Caenorhabditis elegans: one gene and its partner. The protein of the gene in region 1 interacts with the protein of each later gene in a pairwise test. Each region holds a gene or a part of one and is shown in the gene's direction. Other genes may lie near its edges.

Region 1 (8,458 bases):
CCTAATTGCTAAAATTTGTTTTACCAAAAGTTATTCAATAAACAAAACATTTTTTATTTCTCGCTCTCTACAGCTTTTTATTTATTAATCAATACTATGAACCGAAGTATAAAATGTTATGATTACTATTCTCTTTTCCTGAAATTGTTCCTGTAGTTGTTTGCATTTGCCAAACGCGTTCTTTCTTGCAATTGATTTATTGTATTGTATTGTCGTCTCCAGCCATACAAACATGACAAGTCCATACACATTCCCATAGATTCAATTCGCAACAAAAGGGAAGATCGTTGTGGTGGTGGTAGTGGTAATTGTAACGACAGAAGACATTGTCTAATTAGTTCCAGTCAACTGAACCAAAAAAGGACGGTAGCACTTTTTTTGCGGTGATTTGGATTTCTTTTTTTGCATTGGTTTTGATGTTATAAGTGTATGTACAAATAGTTTAGTTCTTAGTTCAACTAGTATTCAATTTGAACATTTTACTAAATTTGAAATTGCCAAGTTTGTATTTTAACCAATTATACTCAAAATTCCCTTTCAAACTTACCAAATTCGACAAATCACTCCAAAAATTAATTTTCTATATCCTTTTTTATCCTCTAGAAATGATACTCAACTTTTCAAAACTCAAAAACGTTTTCCTTGGTCATTATTCCTATATGAAACTCTTTAATGACTAAAACTGAATGACGTACCCACTTAAAATTCAATGAAGCAATTAATTGAATTTCTCCTTCTTTGTGAAAGTATATACAATTAATTTTGTAAACAGAAAACTTTTAGAATTTAAATACCATGTGCAAAAACTTTGAAATTTTCTTATCAGCAATCTCTATCGCAAAAAAATATTCTCACTTTTAAAACAAACATTGATAAGTTTATGCTTTTTGAATACTTTCTATAGTTTTCATCAGCTATAAAGTTCCATTATGCAAAAGGAAAAAAAGCTCAAATTTCGAAAGGCAAAAAACTAGGGAAATGTAATTCCTTACTCCTTCTGCTCCTCTTCTCATTTTCTCTCGCGTCTCTCTCACTCTATTTATGACATTTGCCACCCCTCTCCTGGGTTCTCCGGAGCACGGCGATGCTCCGTGTGCTCTTTTTTTATTTCCTCTCAACTGGCCTAGAATAATTTCTAGGCCATAGGTGAGAGTTTAAAGGTAGTACACGCATAAGCTAAAAACCCATCAATGAAGCAAAAAAGCTTCTAGTTTCTGACTGCCAAATTCTTGTTCCTCTATCTATATACCTCCCTCTCCCAGTTTGTATTTCTCATACGAAGGTCACTTTTAATTTTCTCTTTTTTCCCCATTTTCCCATCACTTTACCCCACCAACAGGTGGCATCTTTTCTCCTTTTTTCACATTTTCTCATTATCATTATCTTGTCAATAAGTTCCCCCATCCATTTTTTTTTTCTTTCAAATAATGCTTTTCTTATCAGTGTCCCATCCCCCAATCATTCCACCCCCAGTACCCTCCTTGTCTAGTTGTTTTTTCCTTCCTATTAAGGGAGTGTTGGTGGTCGTGTCATCTTGTCTTGTATCGAGGGAAAATACTTTTTGTCAGTAGTTATTTGTTTGTGAGTGTGTAATTTTGAAATGAACTGCGAACGGTTTCTCTAGTTCAATATTTTTTGTAATCACGCTATTTAAATTAATAACTATTGGTTTTATGGCAAAGTGATTCAATTTTTAAAATTTTCAGAAAATTTCTTGTACTTTAAGTGGCTTGAAAGCTCAACTGTATGGTTATGCTCTGTTAAAATTAAAATAAAAATGCAAAGAAACTGTAAGATCCTTTGGCCTATTTCGTTATTCCAAAAAGGCTTCATGGTACGGCAATTCAAATTGACAAACCGTTTCCCTTCTTTTGTTTAACTCTTTGTGAAGAGTTTCTATTAATTTTAATTACATTGTTCTTTCCAACTTGTATGCATGCGACAGTAGCCCTATTTTTTCCGAGCAGTTTCATCTCATTATCGTCTGGTAGTAAAGGATATGTTTCACACCCCCTTACTGATTTTCATCAACATATTTTGCTTTCTACTTCTTTGAAAACTAACTAGGCGTTAAAGCAAGGCCCAAAATTATATAGCTGGTAGGATGGTTAAGAGGCGATTGAGAAAAACCCATCACGTCTCAACCTGCTAGAATATCTAGAATTTACCCAAAAGCTCAAAAGCTCAGATCACGATTTTTTACATATTAAAAATTTCTTAAAATATTGTATTTTATAAACCAAATCCACTCTCCTATATATTTTCTAATCCTATAATAAGCTTCCCTTGTAACAGCCTGGTTTAATGATTAATTATGACGAAATACATGTATAAGGAGAATGTCATGTCCCATCTCAATCTCCTTTTGGTTCTCCCGCCAACCCGATTGGCTCCTTGTAGTTGGCTCTCGGCACACGACGTCTTGGTTGCTAGGCACCATTTCTCTACTTTCTCTCTTATTTCCTACCTTCCCTACATCTTCCGCTCAATTTATGTGCCTCCTCCGACACAACATTCGACATCGCCTCTTCGCTCCTCCCATCTTTTTGCCTTTTTTCCATCGTTTTTCATAGTCATCCATCCATCCCATCATCATGACGACGGACGATGATTCTCGTGTATATGACTCCACTTCTTTAGCACCTCCTTCCTTTTTAAATGTATTCCTATTTCTTTGTCGCCCCTTTTCACAAGTTTCCCCACCATTTCCAATCACATTTTGTTGCAGCCATAACGATTGAAAACAGCCGCAAACGGAAGATGGACGGCCCGAAGCCGAACCTGGCGTCGGCCGCTTCGATGGAGTCGTTGAACAGTGTTTCTTCTGAAGCAACGAATCCATCACAGGTCCGCACCTTGTTTGTTTCGGGTCTTCCAATGGATGCTAAGCCGCGTGAGCTTTATCTTCTGTTCCGTGGATGTCGTGGTTATGAGGGAGCTCTTTTGAAAATGACATCGAAGAATGGAAAACCAACGTCTCCAGTCGGATTTGTCACCTTTCTTTCGCAACAAGATGCGCAGGACGCCAGAAAAATGTTGCAAGGTAAATTTGTTTTCTTTACGTGTTGTCGAAAAATGTTCGATATACATACATTTCAGCAGTTTCTGCCATCTTTCTAGCTCAAATCTCCAACTTTCGTGTAACAAAATTAACGTTCAGCAGAGACTTGCGCTAGAATTTGCGCTTTTTTTCGAATTGGCATTGCTCCCATGTTACTAGAATTTGGCAGCTTATATCTCGTTTAACTTTGAGTTAATCAAAAATGCATTGGCATTGTGATTGAGAAGTTGTTGATATTTCAAAAAAACCAATCTAAATAAGATTAGTGAGAATATGACACAAATTCCTCTAATTGTAAGGTGCCTTTTTTGTTTTGAAATATTTATTTGTAAGATTCTAGCTAGATTTTCACCTGTTTCCTTTCCAGGTAGACCTGTTGACAGCTTTCCAACCAAAAGATTTCACACCACAGTAGGCATTTCTTGTCATTTTCTTTTTTGCCAATTAAAAAACCAATCAACATTGTTCCCACACACACACATACGACAACGAAATTCTTCAAATTTTCAGGTGTCCGATTCGATCCGGAATGTGCACAGGTACTTCGACTAGAACTTGCAAAATCGAACACAAAAGTAGCTCGACCTAAACAATCTCCACCACCACCACAACATGCGGCACTATCAGCCGCTGCAGCCGGAGTCCCGCAGTTTTTGGCACCAATGCAACACGATCTTCTACTAGATCCTCAATCAGCAGCTCTTTTCAATGAGCAACAACTATTGGCTCTTTCACTTCCACATTTACATGCTGCACAGGCACTTCAAGCAGCCTATATGCCAGCTTCTGCTCTACAACAATACAGTCAGAATCAATTGTTTGCAGCTGCTCAAATGCACCCAGCAGCCGCTGCAGCAGGTAAGAAATACTAATCACATTTTCTGGAAATTCCAGAAAATAATTTATAATTATTTTATTTCCCACAAGTCTCCCACAAACTAATTCCTTAATACACAATTAGTGATCACGATGGTTAAACTATAGCCACCGCACAATCACTATGTTCCACACATTCACAACTATCAAATCACTGTGTACACGCTATCCACTCACTGAAACTCTCACCATCACACATCACACTATTCTGAACTGTCTCGTAGTCCTTCTGTATCCCATTAGTTTCAAAATAGAGTCTCTCAGCTAACGGGGTTACTGTATGTTTGAGAAAAAAAACTTACTGTCATATGTCGGGATTTTGTTTTAAATATCACCAAATAATTCCAAAATATTTCTTAAAAACTTCTTAGAAAAAAATAGGAAAAGTTCAAGAAAATTCGATATGGAAAATTTAACCGCGTAGAAGGAAATTCGTTTTATAACCATTAAACTCATTTGAGAAATATTAAAGAAAAGTTGTGACGATATTTTTTCCGGAATTCATATCTCTACGGCTTTATTTTTTAAAATAAGCTCTTCCAATTTATGGCTGCCGGTTTACCTCAAAGTTTCTCCAGCTTAACCAAATAGTTTTGTATTCTTTATTTATTTTAGTAATTTGGAGCAATCTAGAACATAATCCTCGCAACTTCAACCCCGTTAGCTGTTTCTCTCTTTTTAAAAATTTCCAGACCTCCTATGACATAGCTATTTAAATTAGAGCCAAGAGAATTTTCAGCCAGCCTCCAACATTCTCAACAAGCATCTCAAGCTTCCACCTCTGCGTGCTCCACTCTTTTCGTCGCCAATCTATCGGCTGAAGTGAATGAAGATACTCTTCGGGGTGTATTCAAAGCATTCTCTGGTTTCACACGTCTACGACTGCACAACAAGAATGGATCATGTGTGGCGTTTGTTGAATATTCGGATCTTCAGAAAGCAACTCAAGCGATGATATCACTACAAGGATTCCAGATAACAGCCAACGATCGAGGTGGTCTTCGTATTGAATATGCTCGGAACAAGATGGCTGATGTGAATGGATAAGAAGAGAAGCAAGAATTCTTTGCAGTTTTGTGTATGTTGTATATCTCTTTTGAACAACCATTTCCTTTTTCTCTCTTTATCTTTTTTAGCACCCAAACTTGTAAAATTCATCCCCCTCACACACTTGCTATGTATCCTTGTGTATGTGACACTTAACACGTACGCGCACACCTAACAGGTATCCTTCTAGATTACTGTAGTTATCATCACACAGAGAAAGGGATTAGCTCAAACACTGTGATAATGAGTTTTTAAAACGAGTAACCCAACTGTGATGCCAAAACAGAAATGTGATAATTCAACGCCTGCATAATTAAATTATAAAATGCTTGACAAAAATAATAATAACTATTAATAATAATAATAATACCCGAAAGCCTTTCAACTGCCCCTCCGACAATCCACTCTCATTTTAAAATCAAACGGGTCAGAGACAAATCCTTACAATTTCAGTTTGGGAAGCGCACCACCATCACCAAATGCACAATCATCACTCAGCAACTACTACTTCTACTTCTTCTTCTTCTTCCTGTGCACAACCACCACCACCTCCACCAACGTACACCCGCTCTCATTACACTTAGTGCATTTTCGTCCTTTTTTCATTTTACTCTCCCAAAAAATCACCAAAAATCCTTTCGGATCTCTTTTTATTCGCATTTTATTTTCCTTTCTCTTAATTTTTACAAAATTCGAAGTGTTTGTAAGCACCCTACAGGAACTTCTATTGTCTTGACCGTAGAGCTCCTTTGCATCATATCTTTTCTATTTCTGATTTACTCTCTGTAAATATATATCACGAGAGCTTATCCACCTGTCTGTCTGTCCGAACCTGAAATTTTCTGTGATTTGTTCTAATTTTTCATAAGATCCTTTTTCCCCTTTTACCACCAATCATCATGCATTCCAGTCTCTCTTCTGTTGTAATTTGAAAAAGCTTTTGTAATAAATTTATACACTTTATTGGTTGGTTTCGTTGTGAATTGTTGTGATTTCAATAAGCCGTAAGCAAGTGAGAAAAAAGCGAGTTGGTGAATGGAATGAAGTAGGAAGTTTTGGAATTTGGAAAGCTCGGGAAATATGTTACAGATTTCAAAGAAAATATGCAATAATGGCAAAATGTGATAAAACAAAGACTTGATTGAGAGATTACAACAATCATAGGAATCATGGGATGACAAAAGCACCTATATGAATGAATAATTATTATGATGTGGATGTTGTAGTAGATCTTGATGTATTTGGAGCATCTGACTGAGATGTTGATGTCTCTATTTCCTGTAGCGTCTTCTGCAAAAATTCGATCCGTTTGTCCTTCCAGTCGACCTCGAACCGAAGGCTGTCAATGTCACGCTGTAAAAATCAACTTTTAAAAACTGGCGGTGCGAGTCGGCGCGCAAGAAGGAAGTGTCCAAGTATGTATATATGCAAATAATCCTCGATCCCCCTCCACCACCACACACTCCGGAAATGCATTGAGAGTGTTGAGAAGGTCTTATTTGTGTGCATGACTTTGGATGGAGAATCGAGGAGAAGGTGGCAGCAGTCAAGGGATGTTGAGGTCTTTTTCGTTTCAATGAACCATACCATAATCGGACAGGAAGTTTCGTGTCAACGATATTTCAAGAAAAAAGGAAACTACTAGTGTGATGATTCCGGGGATTTTTTTTTTGAGGAACTAATGCATTCATTTTTTTTTCAAAATTTTCTTTCTAAAATGGTTCGGTAATTAGGAAATTAGGTAGACGGAACTTTTGGGATTGAACAAAAACTATCAAATGATTAAATTTTTTAAGCCACTGAAATGTATATTACTATGTTCCACATTCTACATAGATGCCACTTCAAAATACTTGGTTACTGTAGCTCAAACTTGACATGTCTGTGTTATTAACCTAGTTGGCGCCGTCCTTCGAAGACATGAACATGAAAGTTGTGTAATAAACCAAAAATTATCCACTCTTTTTCTCTCTTTCCTTTCCTTCTTGATTTACAATAAAAACTACTACGCTCTCTCGACATATTTGTGAATTGTTGAGCATAAAGGAATCGAAAATCGCCGAGTATTGTCCGTGTATTCAATTGACACGGGTGGAACAGAGAAGGAGTCTGAGTGAGTGATTGAAAGAGAAGAAAGATCATTAGGTACCAAGTACCTTGTGCTCATACGATTGACATTGTTGGCTCATCCACTTCACGCAATACTAGAAAGAGACGGAGAACACGGGTTACACACGGACATTCCCCAATTTTGACAATCATACAGATTTTGTAGAAAGAAATTTCGAAATCAGGGGTTTGATTTGAAATAGAAGAATAGTAGTGAAACTTCCAACACGACCATGTGTCGATTTACGCAGCTTGTGTACTACTCGAGGAGAAGTGTGAGAAGTACACGAGCTGCGTAAATCGACACAGAGCCGGGTTGGAGCTTTCACGGTCATTCTTTTTTTCATGGGGTCTTAAAGCCCATAATATTACCCAGACGAGAAATTTTGCGCTAAAGATACGGTATCGAATCGACAAATTTTTTTTCAAATGCATAAAGGTGTACACCTTTAAAGGGTACTGTAACTTCAAGCTTTTGTTGCTGCCTAATTTTCATTAATTTTTCAATGTTTCTAAATTACAGTACCTTTTAAAGACGCACACCTTTTTTGTAATCAACCGTATTTTTAGCTTAAAAATCGAAAAATATCGCGTCTGGATAAGATGTATACTTCTAGGAAAAAACAAAGATTTCCATGATCTATCTCGTTAACCAATTTTGAAAAAGCGCACTTGAAATACTTTCCCGTTGAATACTTAAAGCTTTCAAAAAAACTGACGTTCCGTTCGTTTTTCAAACATTTTCCTCTCATCTTTACCCTCTTTTACTATTTTTCTAGGTCATCCGAGGTGTAATTAGACGGCAGTCAAAGAGGTATTTCTGTTTGTATGTGCGTGCAAACTTATATTGCCACCTATTGTAAATCCTCTACTTCTTCCGAAGTTTTTTGTCCCCCTTTCCCTGCCTACCACCTATTTTCAATTGTTCAGGTCACGGGCCACTTTAGCCCAACAATATGAGTAACTGACAGAGAAAAGTGAGTTCAAAGGGGCCAAGACCAAGTACCTGTTGAAATTCACAAATCTTCTCGAGACGAGAACAACGAACGTCGGTTTTTCGAAGTTGTTTTTGAAGTTGAAGAAGGGATTGTTGAAGAACACCTTCTTCGCCTGATGACGTGGCAGGCGTGGCATCTTCTGATTGATTTTCGTAATCGTCTTCAGGATTCATAGAAAACCTATAATATACAAGATTTCTTTCATAAACATTTTTTAGAATCGGCTCACTCTGCTCTTCGAGGTGTTGAACAATCGGCCTCAAGCTCATAATGAAGTGGGAGACTTGTCGGTTTCTCCAGTTGCTCCTTATTTGATTTAGCATTCCAGCCGAAAACCATCGGATTGTCGGAAACTGCAGCGATCTGA
Region 2 (8,551 bases), on another chromosome or scaffold:
GTCAGCAGCTGCTCGACAGTTGCCTTCCCGCCGAGCCCCACGCTCACAATGCTCGGCGGGAAGAGGGATAAAGAAGAGACAAGCACTGGAATTCAGACTCGGGATTCGATTCCTGGACACTTTACAACGTGCGGCGAAAGCGAGATGGATGACGGGCCTCATTCATTCTAACTATGTGTATTGTTAGTCGGTAGGCTTTCACTTCCCGTCGCTACAAAGTGAATAAAACTGAAATATCGCACGCGCTCGCTTGTTTAATTTATTTGCATATTTTCTTTGCACCTCTATTTCTAATTTATTTTTCCAGAACCTCTCCATATTTCAATATTTTACTCAAAACCCATAGTTGATCATAATTCCCATTTCTCTAACATTTTGCTCTTTCGACAAGAATTTTTTTCCATCTATCATCATATTTCCCTATTGTCGTCTATCCTCCTCTCAGCTCTTTTGTTCAATTAGCTGCTCTTTGTGCCAAAATAAACGCAATCAACAGCATTCTTTGCCGCCTCCTCTCACGTCTCGATTTCCGTTTTTCGTCCCTCCAATTGGTTACAGTTCTCAGCCATCTCGTCTCACTTTTCGCTCGATTAACCGCATCACATTCCATCGCAATTGACTCTATCCATTCGAAACGGTGTCGTATTTTCACTCTCTTAGGGGTCTCTTAGAAATTCTCTGCACAATAGGAGCAGCAAATCGAATTTCTCCAGATACTGATTGAAAATTGAGAGGGAGAGAGAGAGAGAGATGAGGTTGGAGTATTTTGAAAAGAAGAGGTTAAATGAAATAAAGGCGAGCTAGTTGAGAAATGTTTAGAAGTGAAACAATGTATTTCCAATTTGTTTAGAACTTCTTGTGCATTCGGGAAGTAAATGACTTTTTTCTATTCTCAACCATTATGAAATTTTTCCACCATCACAAGTTTCTCCTGACATTTTCTTTCGTTTCTTGTTTTCAGTTATTAGAAAACGTTCCTCATCACCAATGTATGCCTCTCCTAATCTATGCATTAGACTACTGTTTCGTGGAATGATAATCTTAGGCTGCTGCTGGTACCAGCAGTTAACACAGCAGCCCTATGAATCCTTTATGCCACTCCATCGCCTCACGATTCTTACGACATTTGTTCTGCGCAGGCATCTGGTGCGTCTGCTTGCCAGAGGACCACCAGAGTGGCTTACAGGAGCTCAACATGTATATTTATTGCACTGGTAGAGATGTCAACTGTTTACAAGTCTCAAAATGTTTCTGCCCTAACCCTCCCCGGGCCCCCCCCCCCCCCCTCCCTCACTCATTCTGTCACTTTCTCCTGGTGTTTCGAAGAAAGGAAGATGAAATAAATGAGACGATTGCCGAAAACACGCGTAATCATAATTGACTTTTTATTTATTTCTTTTGCGACCACATCAGCAGGTTTGGCATCTGCCGCCGTTATCAAAGGCATGCCCTAAGACATCATCAGTGCGCACGTCGTCGGTGATGGAAAAATGCATGTTTTTCGCGCCGCGTGAAGCAATTCAGTAGATTGTTCCCGATCCAGGCCGTAGGCCTCGAGCCGGGGAAAGTTTCATGTTTCGTTCGTTCTTCAACGGCTCGCGCTCGCACTTTTTCGTTGGCTCTTGGCCTATTTGTTTTCGGGGCGATGAACCAACCGCCTTTAAGACCAGTTTTCTTTTCACTCGAAATATATTTTTGCTACCTCCTTCTTCTTCTACTCCTGCTGGCGCTCATCCGGCAAAAAAACTCAGCTGACTGCTCTTGATGCACCTGAGCTTGTTTATTTTCTCTCTTTAATTTTGAATCATTCAAGATGATGCTAGCTAGTATGTAAATTGTTAAAAGCTCATCAAATAGTGTCAAAAATTTTTTATTTGTTGAAATTTTGTTATTTTGTTTTGAAAAGTAGTTACTACTCAGTTTTTGCCACTTTTTTGGAAGTCATCGATTGAAACATGTTCCTTACAGTTTGATGGTCTCCATCAGTTTTAATTATTAATATTCACACATTGTACGGATTTGAACATGCGACAGTGCTATAGTTTTCTCAAAAAGTTGCAAAAACTCGATGGTATCCCCTTTTTCCCCACTATTTGTAAAGCTTCTTCACCTTTAGTAAAAAATTTGGTTCTGGTATTTGGTATTCAGAGCCCTTCCAGTTTTAGTTCTACCCCCCCCCCCCCCCCCTCTAATCAATCATTTTGTAACAAACAGTTTCATTCAGTCATGTGTCTTCGAAGTTTTGCGGACGGACATAAATAACATAAAAAAGTGAAATTTCCTCTCTGCATGGTTTATACGGTCTCTGTGCTTACTATCGAAGATAAACTGATATGATGAGAAACACCACCACGTCCGGGTTTCAAATCTTCAACACTTTCCCATATTTTCAATGCACATGGCACTTCACATAAGAATCCTTAAAGTTTTTCCATGTAAATGTGACGAACCGCCATATTCAGAGTGCTCTGCGTCGTTCAACAACAGCTTTCCAAGTCCTCCAATTGTTTAATCAGGCGGTGAGGACGAGGGGCGGTAAAGACTCCCATACTCGAAACGCACAGATTTGAAGCAATTGTATTCCCGAAAAACAAGACTAGCCCCCGGGAGGAGGAGAGCATCAGTTTGTTTCTTTTGCCTCCCACTGTTTTCGCTGCCTTTCTCGGATTGTCCAAACATGCGAACGTCTTAGTCCGAGCACATTGAGCGAACGGTATTTTTTTCTTTTTTTGTAGCATCGCAACAAATTGGGCTCTCTTTGCTATTTTTGGGCACAAACAAATGGTTGTTTCATTTTTGAATCGCCGCCAAATTCAAAATCCTCTGTACATTCCTCTCAGCTAAAATTTCACACAGAAAAAGAAAAACAAAAAATTATACTGCAGTTCGTAATTGTTTTCCAAATAACATCTTACAGTATAAGTATTATTCTGTATTTCCCACCACCACATCATGAATGCAATGTGATCAGAGATGGATTATTTCTTCATTCTGTCTCTATTCTTTTCTTCTTGGAGCAACTTCTCCTTGTCGCATCCTTTGATTGAGCCTTCTTTCTTCTTATTCTTCTCCTCCTTCTTCTTTTACTTCATCCCAACATCCACCCACTCGTTGTCAGTTGAGCTCTGTTGTTATTTCGCGTTTTATTTCTCTTCATCGATTTCAATCTTTTTTTTCTGGATCAGCATGACATAAATCGATACTCCAGAGGTGGTGTTATTTGCGCAACGGCTCATTGTGGTGAAATATTATGGCAAAAATTGACCGGGGGGAAGAGTGTTGGAAAGAAAGAGTCAATTTTTGCGACGACAGGCGGGCGGTGGTTGGCTTCTGTTTGGAGAGCAGCAAAACTTTGACAGGCTCACCCACCACCGGAGACAGACCTACGGATTTTGTGCGCGCGCGAGCTTTTCGTCGGCTCGTTCTTATCCATTTCTATTTTATCTCTCTCTCGCGATTTGTCGCCTTTCGTTTAGTTTTCACTATCTCTACCTATGTGGTCTCTGAGGTAAGTAAGGTCTCTGATAACTCATTGATCATGACGAGTGATAGATAATAGCAGTGTAAAGTTTTCAGTTTCATGTTGGCTCTAGCTCATTTCCTATTGATTCACACCTTCGATGTTGTATATGTTTTTTTAAATTATCGTTTATAAACTTCTCATATTTCTATGTATATATATACAAAACTTCAAACAAAAACATTTTGCAGGTCAATTTCACGGTATTTAAGCTAGGCCCTATATAAATCAAGTAAAAAATGTACGGCCAAGTCCAAGATCCACTGGTGCATGCTGCTGCCGCTGCTTTGGCACAATCAACCAACGCCGAACCAGTAGTTGGTGAGTTTCCTGTGATCCCCATCGAATTGTCACATGATGATGGTTTAGAGAGGGAAAAAGATAGGGAAAAATGACAGTGGTATGCAACTTTTGTGTGTAACCTCACATATGGTTCCACTTAAAAGAAGACTTGCGATAGGAATAGAAACTGGAAATATTTCAAATTTTTTAGTTCATCTCCATTCATTTTCAGGTTCCCGTGATACCATGTTCACCAAAATCTTTGTCGGTGGTCTGCCATACCATACAAGTGACAAGACGCTTCACGAGTATTTTGAGCAGTTTGGAGATATTGAAGAGGCTGTAGTCATCACTGATCGTAACACACAAAAAAGCAGAGGATATGGATTTGTAAGTCACTGGAATGTCAAAAATTTCTAGTTTGCGATATTTTTTCACGAGATCTTACGTTGGAGGTCAATTGAAACGAAACGGTTTCTAATCATCAATCACTTTTGACATGATTAACCATTTTTTATCTTGTCCGTCCAGATAAAAGAGGAAACAATTTCGTTTGATTTAACTTCACTAAATTGGAAAATAATTCGGGAACAAGGTGGATGAAGAAATCTTCAAATTTCCGAAATCTCGCGGTTCTGCTTTGACCTCTCAAGCGGCTCTTCATAGGAATCGCACGCGTATTTTGTTAGCAAACATTTCCCAACCATATATATCTCAACAAATAGTTGCAACAGCAAAGATGGAAAGATTACTCTTCGCAAAAAAACATGATCTTTACATATGTTTGTTAATGAAACATAACTTTTCAGGTAACAATGAAGGACCGTGCTTCTGCAGAAAGAGCTTGTAAAGATCCAAATCCAATCATTGATGGAAGGAAGGCTAATGTCAACTTGGCATACCTCGGAGCTAAACCAAGAACAAATGTGCAACTTGCTGGTAAGTTTCGAATTTTTGTGCGGCTCTTGAGCAGCTCTCAGATCATTTTATTCTCCCCGTGTGTTTTGGCTTCTGCTAAACATTATCAATCCTCCACAACCTTCATAACCAAAGGATATTGTTTGTGTCGCGCATCTCTATTCAGTTTTTGTCTGTGTTAACCAAAATCACCAAGTTGGTCATTTTAGCGCTGGCCGCTGGACAAGTTCAACTTCCACTCACCACTCAACTTCAGGCTTTGTTTCAACCAAGAATGGGGTAAGTTTCGGTGATTTGCCTGTGTGTGACATACTTCCAACAATTCCTATCTCATCCAAAAATCACCGCTAATTGAGTTGTGTTGATACAGAAAAAAGAAACAACACGACAACAACAGCAATGACAAAACACTGTAGAACTTTGTGCTCTAGCTCAAAAGTTGCCTAGGATACTTGAGAAGTACTCTTGTGTTCAACCATCTTCACACGTTTAATAATAACTTAAATAATATTAATGATTGTAAACCAAAATATTTTAAGACAAGTGGCCGGTTGAATCGAAATCCGTGGATGCCTAAAACTAAAGGTTAGGCGTGCTTTGACGTGTGCCAATATCATTACTTTCATTTTCCAAACCAAAAGCGGAATACAATAGTGCTGTGTTTTTGACGTGTCCATACTCTCTTTCTCTTCATTTTCACCTATTTCCCAAACCTATATGATTTCGAGTTTTTCTCTTTTCCCTTGGTGAAAACTTGCATAGTCCTGAATGAACTGAGCACCCCAAAGTTGTTTTCTTCATTGGTGGGATTGATGATTATTTCTTTGTAGGTCAATGGGTTTGGCTGCCTAACTAAAACCATCACGCATTTTCTAAACTTTGCTATAGTTTGGTTACGTCTTTTCTGATACTTTTTTTTTTGGAATTTTGAAGTTGTCAATGATTTTACTTTTCATTCTATCCAAATATGTTAGATATTTCTTTTGCACTAACTCAAAAAAACTGAACTGAAAAAATGTGGAGTTTCTTAATATTGTTAAAACAAAAACAAAAATAATTATACTTTCCAGAACCAAAAAAAGTGAATTTTTATCACGCATGTGCGTGTTTTTTGGGTGATATTGTGATAAACACTGTTGCCTCATTTCCAGCATTTGGCATTTACATCCTCCTGTCAATTCCGTGTTCGGTAATTAATCAATACTTTTTTTTAGACTTCCTCAAATGTATTATCCGACTGTCACAGGACTGGTCAATCCGTTGATGGCACAACAAGGAGCCGCTGCTCAGCAACAATTGTTCGATTATAATGCTCTGGCCGCAGTAATGAACCCACAAGCTGCCGCCGCTTATGGTATTCAGTCCCAAGGAAAATGTATGTTCGACGATAGGAAGTTAAAATTAAATAAAAATTTTTTTTTTTCAAATTTAATAAAACATTTTCAGTCGCAGCCGCCCCTACAACAATTGAGCAATACGCCGCCTATCCAGCAGGATACGGCCTAGTTCCCCAATCTGCCTACAATATTGGAAACCCACAGTTGCAACAATTAGCTGCCGCACAACAACAGCTTGAGCATCAACGTGTCTAGAATCCTAATAATATTCTTCAATTTGTCATTCACTCATTCATAAAACCGATTGTCATTGTCGTCCCAGCAATAATTCGCCAACTGATTTTGCCAATAGAGAACATAGGTATTTGCCCGAGTTATACTGATAATTTTACAACTTTGTCCTACCCAAATATCAGATTCTTACGCAAATCAAACAGTTCTATCTAGTCTTCCAATTTCAACTTTATTCCCATATACTTTACAATTTTAGTCACAGTTCTTTTTGATTTTGTCAATTTTTTTCTTATTCATTTCAAATTACAAATCTCTGATGTGGGTTTCTACACGTTCGATGTTTTTTCTTCTCAATTTTTTCCCGAAACGCCAGAGTTGCCTGATTTTAATGTGCCATTTGCACATCCTCATTGAATTTGCAAATTAATTTCATATGGTGAGTTCGTAATAGTCGTACATGTTCCTGCATTTAATGTTTACAATAAACCGATTTCAAAACCTAATCACGTGTGATGCAGAAACTGGAAGTAGTTGTAATGAACGGGGGTTTAAACAGAAGGCAGATGGATACAACAGGAACTAGTTGCAGCATTAGGTCATCTTGGCAAACAGTAAGAAATAATGCAATACTATATTGTAGTTTCGTAGATCGAATTTAAAACAAAAAATACAGTACTAGGCAGAATGATACTTTTAGAATGAATGATAATTTTTTGACGAATTTTTTCCATCCAAAAAAATAGGGAAAAGAACCTGTGAAAGAAGAAAAAACTGGCTCTGAAAATATAATATCCTGACTGATTGAAGTTGTCGATCCTGTAAATTCTAAAACTGATAGTAGTGGTAGTAGATGACATTGAACACTTCCGAATGACATTTCAGGCTGAAAATTAAAAAAAATTGAAATGCCTTGAGAAACCATCTACAAATAGTAAATAGTAGAATAACTAACCGAAATGAGGGTAGAGAATAATTATTTTAAGCTGCTCGAGACATTTTGGCCACCACTGAAAACAAAACGTTATAAAATTAAACTACCGTTCCAAATATCCCATCTCTCAATTTTAAAACCCTTTTTAAAGCACGATAGAATGATTAAATTTTTAAAATATTCTGAAACTTTTTCGAATGAAGTTCAAAGACTAGAAAGTCTAACAATATTTAAAATTGAGTATGGTGAGGGGATTTTGTTTATAAATCTTCGCATTCTTAGATATCTAATTAGAAATTTAAAACAAATGAGGAGATAATAATACAGGGTGGCCTATAATTATGCGGACCGAGTTGCTCTCACAAAAATATGTTTTTTTCTCGCCTGACAAATTTTAAATTTTTGTTTTATTTGTTCATTGATAGCTGACATGTTTTCCTATTAGCTAACTTTAAAAAAATGTGATTTGTTAAACTACGCAATCTAGGCAGAGTCGTCAAACTAGCATCATCTCCCACACTGACGACTCTTTGACACGCATCGATTTTTGAGTGTGGAAATTTCGAAACCGATCTTTTCTACAGTAATGTATACATTTTGGAAGCGAAAAATATATTTTAATAAATGTTGAAGTATATGGAATTGGTTCCATGAAATTCCAGCTCCTGTTGGGTGATTGTTTGACAGTAACTACAGCCGATTTTACAAGGAGTTCAATAGCTAGTGACAGTTTTTGGTATATATCAGCCATAAAATGAGATAAGCACATAATTGTTGCCACAAGGAAAGAAAAATATTAGTAGAATCATATGGCTATTTATCAAAACATTCACTTTTTACATAACTGATGTGCCAAGTGGAACGTCGGCTTTCTGATGTTCTTGATTTGTCTCCCTTCAATCAATGACCACATCAATGTCAGATGAAAACATTTATGAATTTTATTGCAAAACGGATTCTCAGAAAAAAGTCAATCCAAATATGATTGCTAAAGTGATGATATTTGCAATAGAACCTAGAAATGACAACAAAAAGGAGAACACCAATGAGTTGCGTGCCAACGTCAAAATTTTTTAGGAATGTCAGCAGGCCTGTAGAATTTCACAAGCGGAAAATTTGAAAGTTTGACAACAAATTTTGTTCCTTAGAAAATTTGAAATAAAATATGTGTTGTTATCATATTTTTGAATGTTCCAATCAGATTTTATGAGTACGACTTGCGGTCCGCATAGTTATGGGCCACCCTGTATTAACTGAATCTTGTACGATGTTGGTTTGACGGGACCCAAGTGTGGTTGACAGCTCACGGGTGATTTGGAAAGGATCCGT

The links.
Region 2: the proteins of mec-8 (region 1) and sup-12 interact in a two-hybrid assay, tested with the Caenorhabditis elegans proteins (one large-scale study listed by BioGRID).

What each region holds. Positions count from the first base shown.
Region 1 is NC_003279.8:9,438,498-9,446,955, reverse strand, and holds mec-8 (RRM domain-containing protein), read left to right. Parts: upstream 1-2,728; 5' UTR 2,729-2,760; coding exon 2,761-3,043; intron 3,044-3,571; coding exon 3,572-3,919; intron 3,920-4,157; exon of another isoform or gene 4,158-4,272; intron 4,273-4,676; coding exon 4,677-4,984; 3' UTR 4,985-5,015; intron 5,016-5,437; 3' UTR 5,438-5,946; downstream 5,947-8,458. Other genes in the region: C17E4.10 (PRKC apoptosis WT1 regulator protein), read right to left, coding at 6,191-6,337, 8,100-8,271, 8,321-8,454.
Region 2 is NC_003284.9:3,900,880-3,909,430, forward strand, and holds sup-12 (RRM domain-containing protein), read left to right. Parts: upstream 1-3,711; 5' UTR 3,712-3,759; coding exon 3,760-3,841; intron 3,842-4,034; coding exon 4,035-4,192; intron 4,193-4,611; coding exon 4,612-4,741; intron 4,742-4,929; coding exon 4,930-4,999; intron 5,000-5,259; coding exon of another isoform or gene 5,260-5,275; exon of another isoform or gene 5,276-5,305; intron 5,306-5,934; coding exon 5,935-6,095; intron 6,096-6,166; coding exon 6,167-6,312; 3' UTR 6,313-6,792; downstream 6,793-8,551. Other genes in the region: T22B2.5 (Neur_chan_memb domain-containing protein), read right to left, coding at 7,265-7,298.